Linked DNA regions of Saccharomyces cerevisiae S288C. The protein of the gene in region 2 binds, or shares a complex with, the protein of the main gene of each other region. Each region holds a gene or a part of one and is shown on either strand. Other genes may lie near its edges. A codon is read from its position in the direction of its gene.

Region 1 (15,945 bases), on a different chromosome or scaffold from region 2:
TACTTTGAATCCAAAGGTGTTGATCTGACCAAGTTTTCACAGTTAAAATCTACAAATCAAAGAGACGATAAAGTGATACTGGTTAAAAATTTTCCTTTTGGGACAACTAGAGAAGAGCTTGGCGAAATGTTTTTGCCATATGGTAAATTGGAAAGATTGCTCATGCCACCAGCTGGTACAATAGCTATAGTGCAATTCAGGGACACAACGTCAGCAAGGGCAGCTTTCACTAAACTATCGTATAAAAGATTTAAGGACGGCATAATATATCTAGAAAGGGGGCCTAAGGATTGCTTTACTAAACCAGCTGAGGCCGATGATTTGATAAATAACACTTCTGCAAAAGAAGAAGAAAACCCGGTAGAGGTAAAACCTTCATCAAATGACTTAATGGAAGCAAACAAGGATGTAACTGAAGGGTCATCTAATGCTCATGATGAAGACGTTATTGATGGTCCAACTGTCTCAATTTTCATAAAGAATCTAAACTTCTCCACGACGAACCAAAATCTTACTGATAGGTTCAAGGTTTTCACTGGTTTTGTTGTTGCCCAAGTGAAGACAAAACCTGATCCAAAACATCAAGGCAAGACCTTGTCAATGGGGTTTGGTTTTGTAGAATTCAGGACCAAGGAACAAGCTAATGCCGTGATAGCTGCAATGGATGGGACGGTAATCGACGGCCATAAGATTCAATTGAAGTTATCCCATAGACAAGCATCTCAGAGCGGTAATACAAAGACTAAATCCAATAAGAAAAGCGGTAAAATCATTGTTAAGAATCTTCCATTTGAAGCTACTAGGAAAGACGTTTTCGAATTATTCAATTCTTTTGGTCAATTAAAATCTGTTAGAGTTCCAAAGAAGTTCGACAAGTCTGCAAGAGGTTTTGCGTTCGTGGAATTTTTACTTCCAAAGGAAGCAGAAAATGCTATGGATCAGTTGCACGGTGTCCATTTACTGGGCCGCAGATTGGTAATGCAATATGCAGAAGAAGATGCAGTTGACGCTGAAGAAGAGATAGCCAGGATGACAAAGAAGGTTAGAAAGCAAGTTGCCACTAATGAGATGGCTGCCTTAAGAAATGGGGGCGGTAGAAAGAAACTGGATGTGGATGATGAAGAAAACGAAGGTTTCTAGTTTACCCTATCAGCTTATCGTATTTTTCTTTCATAATTTACATTTTATTTGAATATATAAATCATATTACTACTTTAATAGCATAAAACTCTTCAAAACATCTCATCCCGAAAAAGATTACTAAACTTAAAAATTACATGTTGCCTTGGTTTCATAATTTTGGTAATCATTCAAAATGGAAAATGTTAGCACATCTTGTTGCTGTTGTCAATGTATCTGTTATGCTATACAAAATTAAATTGTAGGGACGTAATCTTAATAAAAAGTTGAAAAAGGGTCTGAATGTTCTGAACCATTGTAAAGTATCCCGCTTGAACCTTGTTTTCCATCTCTATGCCTAAAAGTAAATCCAACAAGCTTGGAATCAACGGCAGAGTCATCGACCATTGCAGATAATTTGTTCTGTCTTTTGAAGACATCTGCATATTTAGCCATATCTTCTTCATTTGTGAAGTCATCGAAATAACCTGCATCCGTTTCATCATCTAATTGAGGAATAAATGGTGGAGAACTTGTTCTTAGGGTTTCAAAATTGATCTCTGCGAAATAAGACATTTTGCGAACTTGCTCAAAAGATCGTACTCTGTTGATGGGGTCAGCTATTAGTCTTGTAATTAAATCCCAGGTTCTATCTGAGAATGCTGCTCTTCTATCCTCAGTACGGGGCCTTCTTAAAGTTTTTTTCCAATATCTTAAATTCTCGTAAGTTTCATTAGTAGAAGAACCACTAAAAGGTGTATATCCAACCAAACTTTCAAAAAGCATACAGCCTAATGACCAATAATCCACTGTAAAATCGTATTTTTTACCTTCCAGAACTTCTAGGGCCATATAATCAGGCGAACCGACCATAGAGTTAGCGTAATTAATTTCTGTCTTCCTCATGTTATGATATATTTTCCTTCTATCCTCGATAGACCTTTCTGTGAAAGCAGGAAATTCCAAATTCTTTACTTCTTCTAAGCGTATTTTCATGCTTTCGATTCTTTCATTTGATACGGTCCCTGCTGCTAGACCAAAATCGGTCAGCTTGATATGCCCTGTAGCATCAATCAAGAAATTCTCCGGCTTTAAATCCCGGTGAGTGTAACCAAGTTCATGCAACGCGTTCACGGCACAAAACATTTCGCTGATATAGAACCTTGCGTGACCGCTCTTCAATATCCTTGTATTTATTAACAATGTGCGAAAATCACCACCAGGTACAAATTCCATTGCTAAATATAGGCTCTCTGGATCCTGAAATGCATAAAGCAACTTCACAAGCCAGTCAGATCTAGTTGTGGTTAGTATGTCCCTCTCAGTAAGGACGTGATTCGTCTCGTTTAGTTTGAATAAAAGTTTCTTGTTTAATATTTTCAAAGCACAAATTTCATCACTGTCTTTTTTTTTTGCAAGATAAACTTGCCCATAACCACCCTGTCCAACTTGTGTCAGTATCTGAAAATCCTTGTGCTTAGGTTTCAACCTCCTTTTTCTCAGTACTTCGTGTTCTCTTTGCAAATACAAAGCCCATTCTTCATTTAAAACCTTATTAGAAACGTTTTTGACACTTCTTTGCTGTTCAAGATATCTTAGCACCTGCTTCGTACGTTGTCTTCTGCTAATAACATAATCAAACATGTCACAGTAATAGTCGAGAAAGTAAAGTTGGCATACATTAACAACTCTCTGGGTTTTACTTTGGGAAGCACGCTCGTGAAAATCCTTGGGTAGCTTCTTCGGTGAGTGATTCAATGAAATGCGATTTTTGAAGGTATCTTGATCATCTGAATCACACGGCTTATATGATCTTGGAAGTCCGGGAGTTAATCTTCCATTTTCGCTCTTTCTAGCAGGCCTATATTGCGCCTGTGGAGAAGTAGGTTTAGGAATATTCAAATCATAGAACCCTAAATGACTCATATTACCAGCCAAATCATCTACCTCTCGATCACTTCGTGAAAACATGACTACCGAATTATTGTTGAATACGATATTCTGGGTTGCTAATCACTATTGGAGTTACAAGTTTGTTGCGACAATACAGTTCATCATGATCTGTGATCTAGCCGACTACAGGTCCATTGATTTGTGTTTACTCTCAAAATCTTGTATGAGGTGTATGGGTTAATTATCCATTCAAAGACAAAAATTTATGATCTTGGTGTTTGTATATAAAAATTAGTCAGAAGACATGCTTATTCTTGATTTTATATTAATTAGAAAGAGATGTTGCATTATCCCATACTTGTCGTTTGTCTTCTGCTACAATACATTGTGCTTTATGTTGCAAATATTTATTAATTCCGTTTATAGTGACTTGGATTCACAAAAATTTTGTGAAAAAATTATTGCGATGAGTTGAAAGAAAAAATTTCACTCATATTATGTAGAAGAGCAGGTATCAAGTGCATGAAAGTAAGTAGGTGAAAGAAGATATGTCAAATATTGTGGGTATTGAATATAACCGTGTAACGAATACAACCTCCACGGATTTTCCTGGTTTCTCGAAGGATGCAGAAAACGAGTGGAATGTGGAAAAATTCAAAAAGGACTTCGAAGTCAATATTTCGTCATTAGACGCAAGAGAGGCAAATTTCGACTTGATAAACATTGACACATCGATTGCGAATGCCTTTCGTCGTATAATGATTTCCGAGGTTCCATCCGTGGCTGCTGAATACGTCTATTTTTTTAACAATACATCCGTTATCCAAGATGAGGTTTTGGCTCATAGAATAGGCTTGGTTCCATTAAAAGTTGACCCTGATATGCTCACATGGGTTGATAGTAATTTGCCGGACGATGAAAAGTTTACGGATGAAAATACTATCGTTTTGAGTTTGAACGTGAAGTGCACAAGAAATCCAGATGCTCCAAAGGGATCTACTGATCCAAAGGAACTATATAACAATGCCCATGTCTACGCCCGTGATTTGAAGTTTGAACCACAGGGCAGACAATCTACCACTTTTGCTGATTGTCCGGTTGTTCCAGCTGATCCTGATATTTTATTAGCTAAGCTAAGGCCTGGTCAAGAAATTTCGTTGAAGGCACATTGCATTTTAGGTATCGGTGGTGATCATGCTAAATTTTCACCAGTTTCCACCGCTTCTTATAGATTATTACCTCAAATCAATATCTTACAGCCAATCAAAGGTGAAAGTGCCAGAAGATTTCAAAAATGTTTTCCCCCAGGTGTTATTGGTATTGATGAAGGTTCAGATGAAGCGTATGTCAAAGATGCTAGGAAGGATACGGTTTCCAGGGAGGTTTTAAGATACGAAGAGTTTGCTGATAAAGTTAAATTAGGAAGAGTGAGGAACCACTTTATTTTCAACGTAGAAAGCGCTGGTGCCATGACACCAGAAGAAATTTTTTTCAAATCCGTCAGGATTTTAAAGAATAAGGCTGAGTATTTGAAAAACTGTCCAATTACCCAATGATCCTACTTTGCATACTAATAAAAAAAACACAGTTTGAGAAAAATATTAAATACTTAACCTCAGGGTCTTTATCTTTGTATAATCTTTTCTTCTAGTATTAGTAGAATTGGCAAATCCTACCAAAAAAATACAAACCCATGAATCGTCATAGATAAGGAAATGTAATAGAATGATATATGTAAATGTAACTCTCTATAAAATAGTGCCGATAACAGTAATATGCATTACCCCTTATGGACTACATATATATACTATTAGACAGAATTGCTAGCATTCTCATTGTTGTCATTAATATTGCCGTCATTTAAAATGGCATTCATGGTTTTATTTAATGGTATTCGTGCAACTATTACAGAGCCATCGTAGCCATCACTATTTACAGGTTCTAGTCTTTCTGGCTCTTCAAAATCTAAATCTGCCAATACAACACATGTTAGTGAAAATAAAGTAAACTGTACAATAAGTATGCTAAATTCGAACATTACTAATCCAAGATTGCCGGAAAAGTTGCTCTTTGGTAGCCGTTCTCCGATCATCTGTAGAAAAAGCCCACCTCTTCTCTCACCCAAAAGTAGACCATCTGAATTGGAAAAGGGTGAGGGAGTATTCTTAGGGCCATCGTCTACTGGCTCGCTACCACTCAGGGGTTCAAAAAAATCAATTGGGAATAGGATTGTTAAGATAATGAAAAGCATATTCAACGATAAGCAACCATGAAATAAAAACTTCCGGATTTGCTTTTTCATGGACACAATAGCGGTATCATCATGGTCTTGTTGCTCAGCTTCACTAGAAGAATTATAAAGCATTTCTGTTCCAAACATTCCGGGAAACCTGATAGATCTTCCGCCTGGAAGTGTTGCAACCCCCGTCGTGTTATTATCTGCACCGAGGGTCGCTAGCCTACGTAACTTGGCATCACTTGGAAAAGGAGAACTTATGAGAGATTGCACTATTGCTCTTGTTATAAGTGTCCAGACGGTACGATCATACTTGATATATTCCAATGATATTAAAACATACCCGAGAAAGCTCAAATTATTCACCAAATTTCTTTGGAAGTTTCTTTTTCGTAGTTCGTATACTCGTTTGTTTCCTATACTTAAATTTCCTTCAGCAGTACTTTCAAAATTATCCATTATTATATTGGCCTTATTGAAAACATAGATTAGTTTGCTTTTGGCCTGCTAATGGATGACAAATAGCGTGCTTAGTATTTTTAGGCTTCCGCAGTTTAGCTTTATTTGATGATACGTCAAGAGTGCGGGATAATGTAGGTTCAAAAGGATCAAATTGTGTTTCGTTATATATGATTTCCTTGCAATAACTATAGAGAAGGAGAACAATATAACCTTGTGCATGAAAGCATCATAGTCTTAAAGAAAAAATTTAAACTAAAATGCAGAATCAATTCTCATGGATTTTTTATATAAAAAGAAGCTAAATAAGTGTTAACTTTAGGGAAAAAATTTTGCCACCTGTCAGAATTGAACTAACGACCTTTGCATTACAAGTGCAACGCTCTACCACTAAGCTAAGGAGGCTTTTACACTGTAGGGTATCCTCCAAGAAGGGACAAAGTGTCTGCATGGAAATTTGCAGCCGACTTCTCTTAATGTCTGTAACACTTAAACTATCATGGAGTGATTTCATTTCAACGATATCCCTAAAAGCGAACCAGAAGTGTTTTAGTTGAATCGTTTATTGGCTAGAACACTCGAATACAACGTATTAAACAAATGAAGAAACAATGACCGTATCATGAATTTCCTTTTATGGGGATTCCTTTTTCTGGTTATACTACTTTTTAAGAATTGGCATTTTCAGCCTTAGATTCCTCACTTTCAAAAGAAGCATGGTCCTTTATGAGACATTGCAATTATGTAACTTTCCGAACTAAATACTGAAATTTTTAATGGAAGCTTGAAAACTATAGAAGCTCTCCGTTTTAAAGGAGAAAGAGGATGATTACAATCCTTTGACTTGAACCGATCCATATATCCTCTCACTACTATTTACTCAAGTCTCCAAACTATGTATACATGTTGATGTGATTATGTGCGTTGCTAAATAATGTAAATTCCTCAAACACGATCTGACCCTGTCAATCTCACTGCTGCACCGTATTTTTGTAATTTTGTTAGCAAACCGTCACCTTGCTTAACTAGCAGATGGTATTGAGCATTTTTGTTGTCTGGCCTGTTGGTCTCTACGATCCCATTAACTCTATCAATGACACAATTTAGTTGCTTATTTGGAATAAACTTACCCAGGTCGTTATCCAAGAACGCAACCGAAACACCAAATGCGCTTGCCATAGATTTCAGCGACAAAGTCTTATATGATTCCAACAATTGTGCGTAGACTTTTCTTCTCATTTCTCTAACAAAGAAATCTGCATGTCTATTCAAATATTTACATGGAATCAAAACATTTGCATATGTTTCCAAAAGATATGGAAAGTAACTGGCATAATCGGACGCGTAAAGGGAAATTGTTAACGACGAGATAGATTGTAGTGCGGCAGTTGTTGAGATTAAAGATAACAATTCAGGTGAATCGATGACTTTGGATTTTAGGTCTGTTCTTTCCAGAGTGAATAAACCTGTGACCGATGCATATGTGGCAATGCTTTCATAGGAAGTTAATTCAATAGAGGTGAAAGTTGCTAGAGAATCGACCAATAACTTTGCCGCTTCCTTAAAGTTTCTTACGGCCAAGCAGTGGATACCATAGTATGTTTTATATCTATTTCTTCTCTCCCAGTCACCACCTTTTTCAATCATAGAATTGACTGCTTCCAACTTCTCCTTAACATAAAGTTGGTCGTTATAAAAGAACCCCAGCCTTGCAATTGTTAGCATAACATCAATTTTGGCGCCTGTGGAAATAGCCTTCGATAATGATTTCCCTAGCGTCTTTTCAGCATTATCTTTGTCACCGATTTGTGCATAATATTCACCCAGATTAATCCAGGCTTGAGCTTGTTCTAGTTCACCTTCATCATCTTCTTCCAATTTTTGGATCTTTTCATTTAACTCTTTAATCTTACTTTCATTTTTTTTGCACAATTCATTGTATAGCTCCTGGTCAAATTTGATCCATTCGTTTAAAGAATCTGACTTTTCATCGTGTTCCAAGTCAGATTGGCCATTATTAACAAGGTATTCCTCGCAAAGATATTTATAATAAGGGGCCATTTCTTCCTCTTTAATTTTGGCTAAAACGAACTCTGCCGCTTCCTTACGCTGTTCAATACTAACCTTTGATTGTGTCAAAAGAAACGCCTTTTCAGATACCTCATAATTGGGCACCCTATTCACCGTTGGATCAACATATTCAACTTCTTGACTTTTCTCTTCCACGTCTACCATTTTGCCGTGTTTATCCAGAATTTTTGCGTGTATTAGTAACTATTGTAACAGTGGTAAAAAGCGCAGTTTACTACAACAATAGAGATTTGTGTAGTGTTAACAATTAGGTTTTTCAATGCTGCCTTGTGTATATTAATCCTCAATGGGTGGCAAACTTAACTTATTCGGAAACTTGATTGAGCATGCATTTACGCGCCGTCGGTTATGATATGGGGAAAACAAGTGTTATTACAATAGTCCACTATAACTTTTAATAATTATATAGAATGCACTGTACTTTGTTGTTCCAATCGCTTCAAAATATCACATTTCTGAATTATAAGCTAAAGATTTCTGCACTGTATCTTAAACAAGTATTCTAGGACGAATAAAATCAATAAGTTTATGTAATGAGCCTAATTCACCCCGATACAGCAAAATATCCTTTTAAATTTGAACCTTTCCTCAGGCAAGAGTATTCGTTTTCACTCGATCCTGACAGACCTATTTGTGAATTTTACAATTCTAGAGAAGGCCCTAAATCATGTCCGAGGGGACCGTTATGTCCAAAAAAGCATGTGTTACCAATATTTCAGAATAAAATTGTTTGTAGACATTGGCTTCGAGGGTTGTGCAAAAAGAATGACCAATGTGAATACTTACATGAATACAATCTTCGAAAAATGCCTGAATGTGTCTTCTTCAGCAAAAACGGGTACTGTACACAAAGTCCAGATTGTCAATATCTACACATAGATCCCGCTAGCAAGATACCAAAATGTGAAAATTACGAAATGGGATTCTGTCCTCTGGGGAGTTCTTGTCCTAGACGGCATATTAAGAAGGTTTTCTGTCAAAGATACATGACCGGATTTTGTCCTTTAGGGAAGGATGAATGTGATATGGAACATCCACAGTTCATAATCCCAGATGAAGGTAGTAAATTAAGAATTAAGAGAGACGATGAGATAAATACCAGGAAAATGGATGAAGAAAAGGAAAGGCGTTTAAACGCAATTATAAACGGTGAAGTTTGATCTATGCATGGCTGGGGGTTTTCGATTTCATAGACATGTATATTATCATATATAGTTACTATCGAGTATAGTTATGAGATTTTCTAGAGGAAGTCTATCAACCAGAATTCTGGACAATAATGCTAGTTCTGACTTCCAATCCTGGAATAAATCGTTTCTTAACATGTTTAGATTTATAGGATCTTTTTTCAAAAGAGCATTTATCAGCCATTGGGACTGCTGTATAGATGAACTGCCAATACCTGGAGAGGATCCATGCGACACTAACGCCTGAAGTTCGTTGTAAGGCTCATGCTGCGATATAAATGATAAAAGACAAAGCCCCACGGCATACAAATCCGATTCAAATGTAGGAACATGATCGGAGGAGCTATCAATTAGTTCTGGTGCACAGTATTCTACCGTGGTATTCAGATCTGTTGGTGTTTGATTAATGTGAAATGCCGACGTAAAGTCAGCAAGGTAGAAGTCAAAATCCTTACAATGGCCTCCATTAAGAACATGCATTTCTGTTATTAAAATATTTGCTGTTTTTATATCACCATGAATTATACCATTTGTTTTCAAAGATTTTAATGCGTCTATCATTTGCTTCATAAGTCTCCACCATATTTTTCTTTTTGTTATCAACGAAAGCTTATGTGACACTGCTGTATTGAAGTGATATAAACTCATTTCGCATTTCGGAAGAATAAGGCCAGGAACACATTCGTTGGACCTCAGTCTTCTAAAATGGGATTTAGTTATGTATGTCAACCCATAGAATGGAATAATATGACTTTCATTGGTTGAAGGACTCATGTACTGGAGATATGCTAGCGTCAAAGCTTCCTGTAAAATCACCTTGCTTTTATGCTGTGATTTGGCAAACTTTAAAACAACCCCTGAATCGTTGTTACATCTTGATGAAGCACTTGATGATATAGGGTACACATATGAATAACTTCCCTGTCCCACTAATTTGTTAGACGGAAGAGAATAACTTGGATTTGACAAAAAATCCATCTCTGGAGCAAGTAATATGCCCATCAAAAACTCATCCAGAAATTCTAGGGAAGAAACTGTATTAGAAAGACGGAACATTAAAGCCAAATTCTCCGGAGAGTAAAACCGGGGGGTAGTGAACAATACGTCTAAATCGTTCTTTAGGTGCGCCTCCGAGGTAGCAACGGGCGCCTTACTAGAATAATCTGTCTGGAATGCCTCACTGAATTTAGCTGTCGGCTCCTCTACAGGAGATACCAGATGTGAATATGCGAAGTTACTTTTATGTTTTTGCGGTTGGCGATAAGCAAAACCCTTACTATTGTTACTTATGGATGGAAAGGAACCATCAGAAACCCTGGTGACGGGTGACGTAGGAGGTGTACTGTTCATAGCGTGACGTTTGAGAACTAGTCTTTGAGATGTGTTTTAAGACGATTTTTGCTGTTGATGAGGTTAGATCCCCGTTATATAAAGGCAAGAATCTATTAGCAGCGCTTTTTGTTTATTCAATGCTAGTCAAAATAAACAATAAGATAGACCCATACATCACAATCTAGCTGGTTTGCGATCATGTTGATTGACACATTATATCCTTGCTAGGGAACATAAATTTTCGTCATAGGCTATACAAGCAGCTGAGATATAGTGAAGGAGGTAAGCAACTTTTGAAACACATTTACGATCTTCTAACCTTATTAACTTGTTGCTTTAGCTTTTAGAACTCCATTTACGTCACTTTTTTGAATTTTCGCCTGTAAAGGAATTGTGAAAAAAGTGTGGGATAGAGATAGAACATAGAAAACAAACCAAATTCGTTGGGACAGCGAAGTAGCGCAAACTAACGATACTGTATTGTCAGGCTCTAAAAGGGTGAAGTTTTGATGGAAGGGCAAAAATCGAATGCATCATGGGAGAGCTCGATCATCGAGGGCCAATTGTCTAAAAATCTAGCAAGGTACACCTTGTTATTAGACAAATTATCGACACTATCTCAAATAGACAAGCTGTCTGAAGTGATAGCCAATGATTACGCAAAACAATCTAAACAATTAAATGCATTTGTGCAACAGTCGCAATCATCGCTCAACAAAGAGTCCCGGAAATTAGAATTGCAAAGAACTAACCTTACGACTACTTTGACTCAGTTTCATGAGACTGTGGCCACCATTTCTTCTTCGAACGCAAGAGCAAAAGCTATACATGACGATATTGAAACTGTAGATCAGGAACGCGCTTTGGTCAACAAAACGTTACAATTTGTAAAAGACGTCAGGACGCTAAAGAATAATATTTCACTGGCGCATTCTGCTTTAGAAACAAAGGATTACTTAGTTGCTGCGACAGCAATCAATGAAATTAGAAGCCTTCCGGATAAAAAACTTATTGTATCCGAGTTTGCCAAGAAAGTTGTGCCCTCGAGTGAAATTCCCGAAGAACCAGCTATACTAATAAAGAATTGGTGTAAGGAACTGACAAGTTTATTTCAGGAGCAATTCATGGAAGCAACAAGAACACAGGATATTAAAGAGCTAACCTTAATGTTCAAAATGTTCCCTATGATTGGGCAGGACGTACTTGGTTTAGACCTGTATTCCAAATATGTCTGTGATATTATTGCGGACGAAAGCAGGAAAATTATGTCGAATTCTATGGAAAACAGCACCAAGTTTCAAGGATTTTTTTCACAAGTACTGTTACATCTTTTTAAAATTGTATCGACCATTATAAATGATCATTCAAAAGTCATCGCCACGTGTTATGGAAAAAAGCACATGGTGCATGTCATGGAAAAAGTAGAAAAAGAAGCTGATCTTCAAGCTAGTTTGATTCTAGATATTTTTATGGAGACGAGGAAAATAGAAAGGACTATACATGATATAAATGAATGGGAACATTCACAAAAGAATGAAGATGTGAATATAGACAGTAATCAGTCGGATATCGAAACAGACGGAGAAACGGAAAAGAGCTCAATTATATCCATTCATGACTTGGCATTATTGATAATGGAATTTTCTCAAATACTTCAAAATTGGTCCATGTATTCTAGATTTTATTCAGTTAAATGGAATGAATTTAGCGATTTGCATCCGCATGTATTGCAACCACCTCCACCAATAGCAGATGGTAAATTTGCCTTAAAGTTAAAGCAAGATAAGGTCTTTGATGAGTTTCAGGTGTTTGTGTTGAACCATCTGCAGAGATCATTTAGAAATAGTATTTCACTAGAAGAATTACCGTCACTGAACGATCTTATAACTGCTGTTCCCCTCAATGACCACGATAACATTTCATACCCTGTAACATCTGTTTTAGATGACTTAATTTTATTAGTTCGGAAAAATCTGATATCAGTGGTTAATACTGGCCAGTTTAAGCTCTTAGCAAGTTTTTTGAACGAGTTGGTAAAATTTTTTCAGAACCGATTTCTGGTAAAATTTATGCAAAACAAATTTAAGTTACTACAATCGAAACTAGCCTCCAATGTATCTTTGAAAAGATACATTCCAAAAGGTGAGGAGCAATCTGCAACATCAAGATCGGTTTCTCCACCTGCAAATAAGTTTTCTCCGCTAAGCAGGTTCACTTTTAGAGGGGCAGCAGCTAGCGCTTTGACAAATATTCAATCAAATTTACAAGCCGTAGTTGCAGAGGACGAGGATTCCATTCTTGCGTTGCACCATTATTTGATATATCTGAACACGTTGTACTTGAGTAAAGTATACGTTCACAGGCTGTTATCCATAGAAATATTAGAAGACGATTCGCAAAGGATTTTGAGAGACAATTTCCCTTTTGACAATGATGCAGCGCAGTTACAGAATTTAATTATAAACTCAGAAAAATTAGTCCTGGAACAAACAGATAAGCTAAGCAAATGGGCTGTCAAATACTTGTTCCAAAATATCCTACAAAATAGGGTTCGGAACTTATTGGGAACTGTTTTTGTTAATTCAGCCTCATCAAATTCCTCAACGTCCAATCAAAAAAATGTGTCTCGCGATTATTCTGCAGGTTCGAACCAAAAGAATTACATCACAAGCATAGAAGATTTCGAAGATTTGTCGCAAATTAACAGTTTCAATAGCAAATGGAACCAATTGATTATCCCTTACAAAAATATTCTTCACAACGAAGCATATGCAGAGTTGCTATCTGTCATAGTCGACTACATCGTAACAACATTGGAGCAAAGAATATGGACTCTAGAATTCAATGAACTTGGTGTTACGAAATTAGATAGAGAACTGAGCCTTTTCATCGGCAATATGTGTGGCTTGAACTATAATCTCAGAGAGAAGTTCTTGAAATTGACACAAATCGTGTTGCTTCTCGGTTTAGATGATGACAATTTTGATTTGACTACAGGTGATATCAAGGATGACTTCAATGGTACTTTCGATTGGGTGATAAACTCTCAGGAAAGAATTAAAGCTAGAAATATGAAGATTGATAGAACACAGTAAATATAACATAAGCTTTACGAGCTGAATACTAAGTAGTTTCATATAAACGCAAACATAATCTTGGCTGTTGTACCTTTTCTGCATACTCTTGACTGTTAATACATTTCTTATTTTTCTTATGAAAGAGCACAACATGATAGCGCCATACTATCATTCTGAACGTTGCGATTAACTGGAAATTACGAAGACTAAGACAAGAAAAATTAAAAGCGTTAATAAAAAATAAACAAAGGAACCTTTGAAATATATTCCGTCACCAAGCTAAGAAAGGAGTAGCTCTTTCTCTAAGGCCAACTTTGTCATCCTTTGAGTTAGTTTAAAGTCTATTAATATTTGCTATTATCTTCTGGGCTGGATAAATAGGACTTTTCTATTGGCACATTTTTTTCTCTTGTAGAAGGTCATCACGAATATTAATTTTGTATTTGAAAGCATTTTATTTTCTCCTTTTTTTATTACCATAATATACCTGGTACTGGTTTTTACCTGATTTAACGTCTAGCCGCTCAAAACAAAAACCCACTCATATCTATACAAATATAAGAATAAGATGGATGGGGAAATGGCAATAATAGAAAGCAGCAATCATGTCGGGACTTCATCGCCTACCACTGAAACACAGTTTACTATAGATTCTTCCGCATTGAAAGACCAAGAAACCAAAGAAAGCATAACAAATTCACCGACAAGCGAGGTACCGATTGAAACAAAACTACCAAAAAGTTCTGATATAGTAACAGAGGAAAAACATCCTCAAAACACGACTACTGATATTGAAAACGAGGTAGAGAATCCTGTTACAGACGATAATGGAAATTTGAAACTTGAATTACCTGATAACCTTGATAACGCTGATTTTTCGAAGCTACTGGAATTTGATGCAAAAAATGATGAAGCTCTGTTCAACTCAAATGAGTTGTTATCCCACACCATGGATCCTGTAAATAACATCGATTTAACTCATGATCACAGCAGGGAGGTTTCATCAAAAGAAGATATCAATATAGAGCCAGTAAACCCTGATGAGGACGAAAGGGAGAAAACTCAAGATAACACAGCAGCAGTGAAAACTGAAGGCATAAGGAACTCAGAAGATACAAGTATACAAAAGGATGAACCCACTGCTGATGCTATATACACAGATGTGCATAAATTATCAGTAAACAAAGATACCGAGACCCTACCAACATTAGTAGATGAAAAAAACAACATGCTGCATATGAGAAACAATTCAATAACGCCAATAATGTTTCAGCAGCATGAATTAGTGGGACAACCGCCACAAAACACTGTAACGGAAAATAATAGTACAGATGCTGAAACTACCCAACGAAAACTATCTGAGCCAATCGATGCAAGTTTACCGCTACCGAATGAACAACCGACTATCTTCGCCTATGCAAGGCTGGACTTTCAAAGTTTCACATTTTATGTACAAACATTACATGCAATAATCGGAAGGAGGTCTGAGAATGACTTCTCCCACAAAGTTGACGTTAATCTTGGTCCTTCAAAATCAATATCGAGGAGACACGCCCAGATTTTTTACAATTTTGGGACAGGAAGGTTCGAATTGTCCATAATAGGGAAGAATGGTGCTTTTGTGGATGACATTTTCGTTGAAAAAGGAAATACTGTGCCACTTCGTAATAAGACAAAAATTCAAATTGGACAAATTCCATTTCAATTTATTTTACCAGAACAAGAACGTAACGACGATAGCAAAAGCCCAGAAAACGCTGACATAGCAGAATCTGAAATAAATACAAGAAATCTCAAAAAAAACGAGCCCAAATCTAAGAAAAAGATTACAACTGGAGCAAAGCCCAAGAAAGCGCAGACCAAACCAGCTGTTAAGAAAGAAAAGAAGCCACCGAAAATACCAAAGAAAGTATATACTTTGGAGGAGATTCCAGTAGAATATAGAACGAAACCTACTGTATCTTACTCTGCTATGCTAACTACTTGCATACGAAAGTACTCGACTGCCAAGGGAATGTCTTTATCTGAAATTTATGCAGGAATAAGAGAACTCTTCCCCTATTATAAATACTGTCCTGATGGGTGGCAAAGCTCGGTAAGACACAACTTATCGCTAAATAAATCTTTCAGGAAGGTTTCTAAAGAAGGCAAAGGATGGTTATGGGGTCTTGATGAAGAATATATTGCAGAGAGGGAACGACAGAAAAAGAAACAAAGTGAGATAGCTGTGGCAAAGGCACAAGCTGCACAATTAAAACTTGAACAGCAACAGCACAAACTTCAGCAAGTGCCGCAGAGGGGCAAAAAAGATATTGTTTCGCAGAGATCTAACGTTAATGCGAGAAAACAAAACATCTCACAAACTCTTGCAGCAAACAGAGCCGCCTCGAACAGGAAAAATACAGCAAGTGATAATCAAAGGACAATGAAATATCTGCAGGAACAGCTTGTCATTTTAACACGAGATAGAAAGGGTTTATCGAAGCAGGTCATCGCTGCAATTTTGACGCAGGCTCTAGCTATGACAATAAATCAGGTTACACAAGCGGCA
Region 2 (4,328 bases):
GGAAAAAAAAAAAGACGAAATCCAAAAGGCTAAGGAAACGGGTAACCCGTGGTACCCGGGGCAGAATCAAACTTATAATTACTAAAGATATACCATATATTACGATCCCTGCGCCCGGCGTGCTCCACATTAAGTAAATGTCTGGAGTAAAATGAAGTCCGCCAATTCAGTCACAAAACATGACTACTGCCTCGTTCGCGATTTCTTCTTCCCTTACTTCATCATGTTCAAGCCCCCTCAGCTGCGCCCAAATGATTCTTCTTATCCTCTTGCATACTGCACCGAAAAAAAAAGTTAATAAGCAGCAGGATTTATAGGCGCGTGCGTGCAGCCTTAGACTGAAGGGGTGGAAAAACTTTAGGTAGGTTTGGTTCTCACTACCCAAAGAGCAATCGATAGGTATAAAAGTGAGCAATTGCTATCACAGCGAGCCTTATTGTTACAGCACAAATCACGCGTATTTTCAAGCAAATATCATGGGTCTCTGCGCATCTTCAGAAAAGAACGGCAGCACTCCTGACACGCAGACCGCCAGCGCTGGTAGTGACAACGTTGGCAAAGCGAAGGTACCACCAAAGCAGGAGCCACAGAAGACTGTGAGAACAGTCAACACAGCAAATCAACAAGAAAAGCAACAACAGAGGCAGCAGCAGCCGTCTCCGCATAATGTTAAGGACCGCAAGGAGCAAAACGGGAGCATTAATAACGCGATATCTCCCACGGCTACGGCAAATACAAGCGGATCGCAACAGATCAATATCGACTCTGCCCTGAGAGACAGGTCGAGTAACGTTGCAGCACAACCATCATTGTCGGACGCTTCAAGTGGCAGCAACGACAAAGAACTGAAAGTGCTACTGCTGGGTGCCGGTGAAAGTGGTAAGTCCACGGTATTGCAGCAGTTGAAGATTTTACACCAGAACGGGTTTAGCGAGCAGGAAATTAAAGAGTACATCCCCTTGATCTATCAGAATCTATTGGAAATTGGCAGGAACCTCATCCAGGCGAGAACAAGGTTTAACGTCAACTTGGAACCGGAGTGTGAACTGACGCAACAAGACCTGTCGAGAACCATGTCCTATGAAATGCCCAATAACTACACGGGCCAATTCCCGGAAGATATCGCGGGCGTAATATCTACGTTGTGGGCCTTGCCCTCAACACAAGATTTAGTCAATGGGCCTAACGCATCGAAGTTCTATCTAATGGACTCGACTCCTTACTTCATGGAAAATTTCACCAGGATCACTTCGCCCAATTACAGACCCACCCAGCAGGACATATTAAGATCGAGACAGATGACGTCAGGGATTTTTGACACCGTCATTGATATGGGGTCGGATATCAAGATGCATATTTACGACGTGGGTGGACAGCGTTCCGAAAGAAAAAAATGGATACACTGCTTCGACAATGTCACTCTGGTCATATTTTGCGTTTCTCTATCGGAGTACGACCAGACGCTGATGGAGGACAAGAACCAGAACAGGTTTCAGGAATCGCTGGTGCTTTTCGATAATATTGTCAACAGTAGATGGTTCGCGCGCACGTCTGTCGTACTCTTTCTGAATAAAATCGACCTTTTTGCTGAAAAACTAAGCAAAGTGCCTATGGAAAATTACTTCCCAGACTACACCGGCGGGTCAGACATCAACAAGGCTGCTAAGTACATACTCTGGAGGTTTGTTCAGTTAAACAGGGCGAATCTAAGCATATATCCTCACGTGACACAGGCCACAGACACGTCGAATATAAGATTAGTATTTGCCGCCATCAAAGAAACAATTTTGGAAAATACATTGAAAGACTCTGGAGTGTTACAATGAATGCACAGCTAAAACAGAGACAAAACTGCATGCCTCTTCTCCCCTTTATTATCACCTTTAAAAAAGATAAAAAAAGAAACTGGAAAAAAGGTAAAAAAAAAAAAAAAATTAAATAAATACGAATACGTTTTCTCATGACCATTGTACTAGTAATCACAACCATGATACTTGAATAACTTTTCTGTTTTGTGCTGTATTAAGCACAACCGTTATTTTTTAATTTATAGCGTTATACCACTATATTATTGTAGTCATTATAGTTATTATCCCGGGTAACAAAAATTTCATTCCAACGAGGTAATAGTTCCACTTTTCAGGCAGGAGGACGAAAAACATTTGCCACCCAAGAAAGAGACAAAGCAGTAGGTAAGGCATTCATCACACAATTTGAAAGGGGGTATAGTAAAAAAAATTCAATTGAGCAAATAGAATGGCTAGCACTGCAGTAATGATGGACGTGGATTCTTCCGGGGTCAATGACTTGCACCATTCTGAGAAGAAATATGCGGAAGAAGATCAGGTTCAGGAACTATTGAAAGTTTTGAATGAGATCTCCAAGACCACTTTAACGCTGGACCCAAGATATATATGGAGGAGTTTAAAGGACTTGAGCTCTTTAAGGAACCAGGAGCTTTTGAATGCGGAAACTTTATGTTTCACAGTGAATGTGCTGTACCCTGATTCTTCTTCATTCAAGAAGAATCTGCTGAAGTTCATTACTTCTAACCATAAATCGTCCGTACCGGGGTCAGCTGAGCTTAGAAACTCATATCCAGCCTCTTTTTATTCCGTAAACACTGAGAAAAAGACCATTGAAGTGACAGCTGAAATTAATTGCTTCATGCATCTACTAGTCCAGTTGTTTTTATGGGACAGTAAAGAATTAGAACAATTGGTAGAGTTTAATAGGAAGGTTGTTATCCCAAATTTATTGTGTTATTACAATTTGCGTTCCTTGAATTTAATCAACGCTAAGTTATGGTTCTACATCTACTTGAGTCATGAAACGTTAGCGCGCAGCTCCGAGGAGATTAACAGCGACAACCAAAATATAATCTTAAGGTCCACGATGATGAAGTTTTTGAAAATCGCTTCCCTGAAGCACGACAACGAAACCAAAGCCATGCTGATTAACTTGATCTTGAGAGATTTTTTGAATAATGGCGAGGTTGATAGCGCGTCTGATTTCATTTCTAAACTAGAATATCCTCACACAGACGTTTCCAGTTCATTGGAGGCAAGATATTTCTTCTATTTATCGAAAATTAACGCCATTCAACTGGATTATTCCACTGCGAACGAGTACATTATTGCAGCCATAAGAAAAGCCCCACATAATTCCAAGAGTTTAGGGTTCTTACAGCAATCAAACAAACTGCATTGTTGTATTCAATTACTCATGGGTGATATTCCAGAATTATCATTTTTCCATCAATCAAATATGCAGAAATCTCTCCTTCCTTATTACCATTTGACCAAAGCCGTTAAATTAGGTGACTTGAAAAAATTCACATCTACAATCACAAAGTATAAGCAGTTGCTATTGAAGGATGACACCTATCAACTCTGTGTTAGATTAAGATCTAATGTTATCAAGACAGGTATCAGGATCATCTCCTTAACGTATAAAAAAATTTCATTAAGAGATATTTGTTTGAAACTGAATTTGGATTCGGAGCAAACTGTAGAATACATGGTTTCAAGGGCTATTAGAGATGGTGTTATTGAAGCCAAGATTAATCACGAGGATGGCTTTATCGAAACCACAGAATTACTAAACATTTATGATAGTGAAGATCCTCAGCAAGTATTTGATGAAAGAATCAAATTTGCCAACCAATTACATGATGAATACCTTGTTTCAATGAGGTACCCTGAGGATAAAAAGACTCAACAAAATGAGAAAAGTGAAAATGGTGAAAATGATGATGATACGCTAGATGGTGATTTGATGGATGACATGTCTGATATCTCGGATCTCGACGATTTGGGATTCTTATAAGGGCGCATAAAAAATAAATAACTACCATTCATAACAGAAATTCATTCGTATATACATAAAGTTCTCATAAACGTATATATATATATATATATATACTTATTGATATCAAAGTGTGTTACTTTCTACATTCATAGACGGGGAAGAAAAGTGAGGAAAAGTTGTTTTCTCTTGTGCACTGCAGCCCTTTGAAAAAGTAGAACTGCAGAAAAAATAACTGAACGTAAAGCATTATTTACTTTTCAAAGGCAAAAGAGATAGAGCCAAAAAAATTGTAAGCAGCTTAAAAGCCATAATGACAACGGAAGATCCAGATTCAAATCACTTAAGTTCCGAAACTGGCATTAAATTGGCATTGGACCCGAACTTAATTACATTGGCACTAAGTTCTAATCCAAACTCTAGCCTTCATTCACCAACGTCTGATGAACCCGTACCTGAATCTGCAGGAAAAGCAGATACTAGTATTCGACTAGAAGGTGATGAGTTAGAGAATAAAACTA

The links.
Region 1: the proteins of RPN3 (region 2) and RPN7 are in contact, whole or in part, in a cryo-EM structure (PDB 5MPD), measured with the Saccharomyces cerevisiae proteins. Residues at the interface, in NP_010938.1 of Saccharomyces cerevisiae: Arg298 (codon at 3,148), His302 (codon at 3,160), Leu397 (codon at 3,445), Thr398 (codon at 3,448), Tyr399 (codon at 3,451), Lys400 (codon at 3,454), Lys401 (codon at 3,457), Ile402 (codon at 3,460), Phe442 (codon at 3,580), Leu449 (codon at 3,601), Asn450 (codon at 3,604), Ile451 (codon at 3,607), Tyr452 (codon at 3,610), Pro457 (codon at 3,625), Val460 (codon at 3,634), Phe461 (codon at 3,637), Arg464 (codon at 3,646), Phe467 (codon at 3,655), Leu471 (codon at 3,667), Glu474 (codon at 3,676), Tyr475 (codon at 3,679), Ser478 (codon at 3,688); in NP_015433.1 of Saccharomyces cerevisiae: Asp365 (codon at 6,850), Gly369 (codon at 6,838), Ile372 (codon at 6,829), Pro373 (codon at 6,826), Lys375 (codon at 6,820), Cys379 (codon at 6,808), Val380 (codon at 6,805), Ile381 (codon at 6,802), Asp382 (codon at 6,799), Arg383 (codon at 6,796), Val384 (codon at 6,793), Asn385 (codon at 6,790), Glu389 (codon at 6,778), Pro393 (codon at 6,766), Asn395 (codon at 6,760), Lys396 (codon at 6,757), Asn397 (codon at 6,754), Tyr400 (codon at 6,745), His401 (codon at 6,742), Val404 (codon at 6,733), Asp408 (codon at 6,721), Leu411 (codon at 6,712), Gln415 (codon at 6,700), Lys416 (codon at 6,697), Arg422 (codon at 6,679).

Annotation. Positions count from the first base shown.
Region 1 is NC_001148.4:734,451-750,395, reverse strand, and holds RPN7 (proteasome regulatory particle lid subunit RPN7), read right to left. Parts: upstream 7,943-15,945; coding exon 6,653-7,942; downstream 1-6,652. Other genes in the region: RNA-binding ribosome biosynthesis protein MRD1, read left to right, coding at 1-1,140; serine/threonine-protein kinase DBF20, read right to left, coding at 1,396-3,090; DNA-directed RNA polymerase core subunit RPC40, read left to right, coding at 3,561-4,568; GLD1 (Gld1p), read right to left, coding at 4,823-5,707; cleavage polyadenylation factor RNA-binding subunit YTH1, read left to right, coding at 8,332-8,958; putative protein kinase ISR1, read right to left, coding at 9,004-10,335; Golgi transport complex subunit COG4, read left to right, coding at 10,827-13,412; FHL1 (Fhl1p), read left to right, coding at 13,963-15,945. UniProt on the Saccharomyces cerevisiae protein: Component of the 19S cap proteasome complex which acts as a regulatory subunit of the 26S proteasome, involved in the ATP-dependent degradation of ubiquitinated proteins.
Region 2 is NC_001137.3:194,692-199,019, forward strand, and holds RPN3 (proteasome regulatory particle lid subunit RPN3), read left to right. Parts: upstream 1-2,256; coding exon 2,257-3,828; downstream 3,829-4,328. Other genes in the region: GPA2 (guanine nucleotide-binding protein subunit alpha), read left to right, coding at 477-1,826; SRB4 (Srb4p), read left to right, coding at 4,121-4,328. UniProt on the Saccharomyces cerevisiae protein: Acts as a regulatory subunit of the 26S proteasome which is involved in the ATP-dependent degradation of ubiquitinated proteins.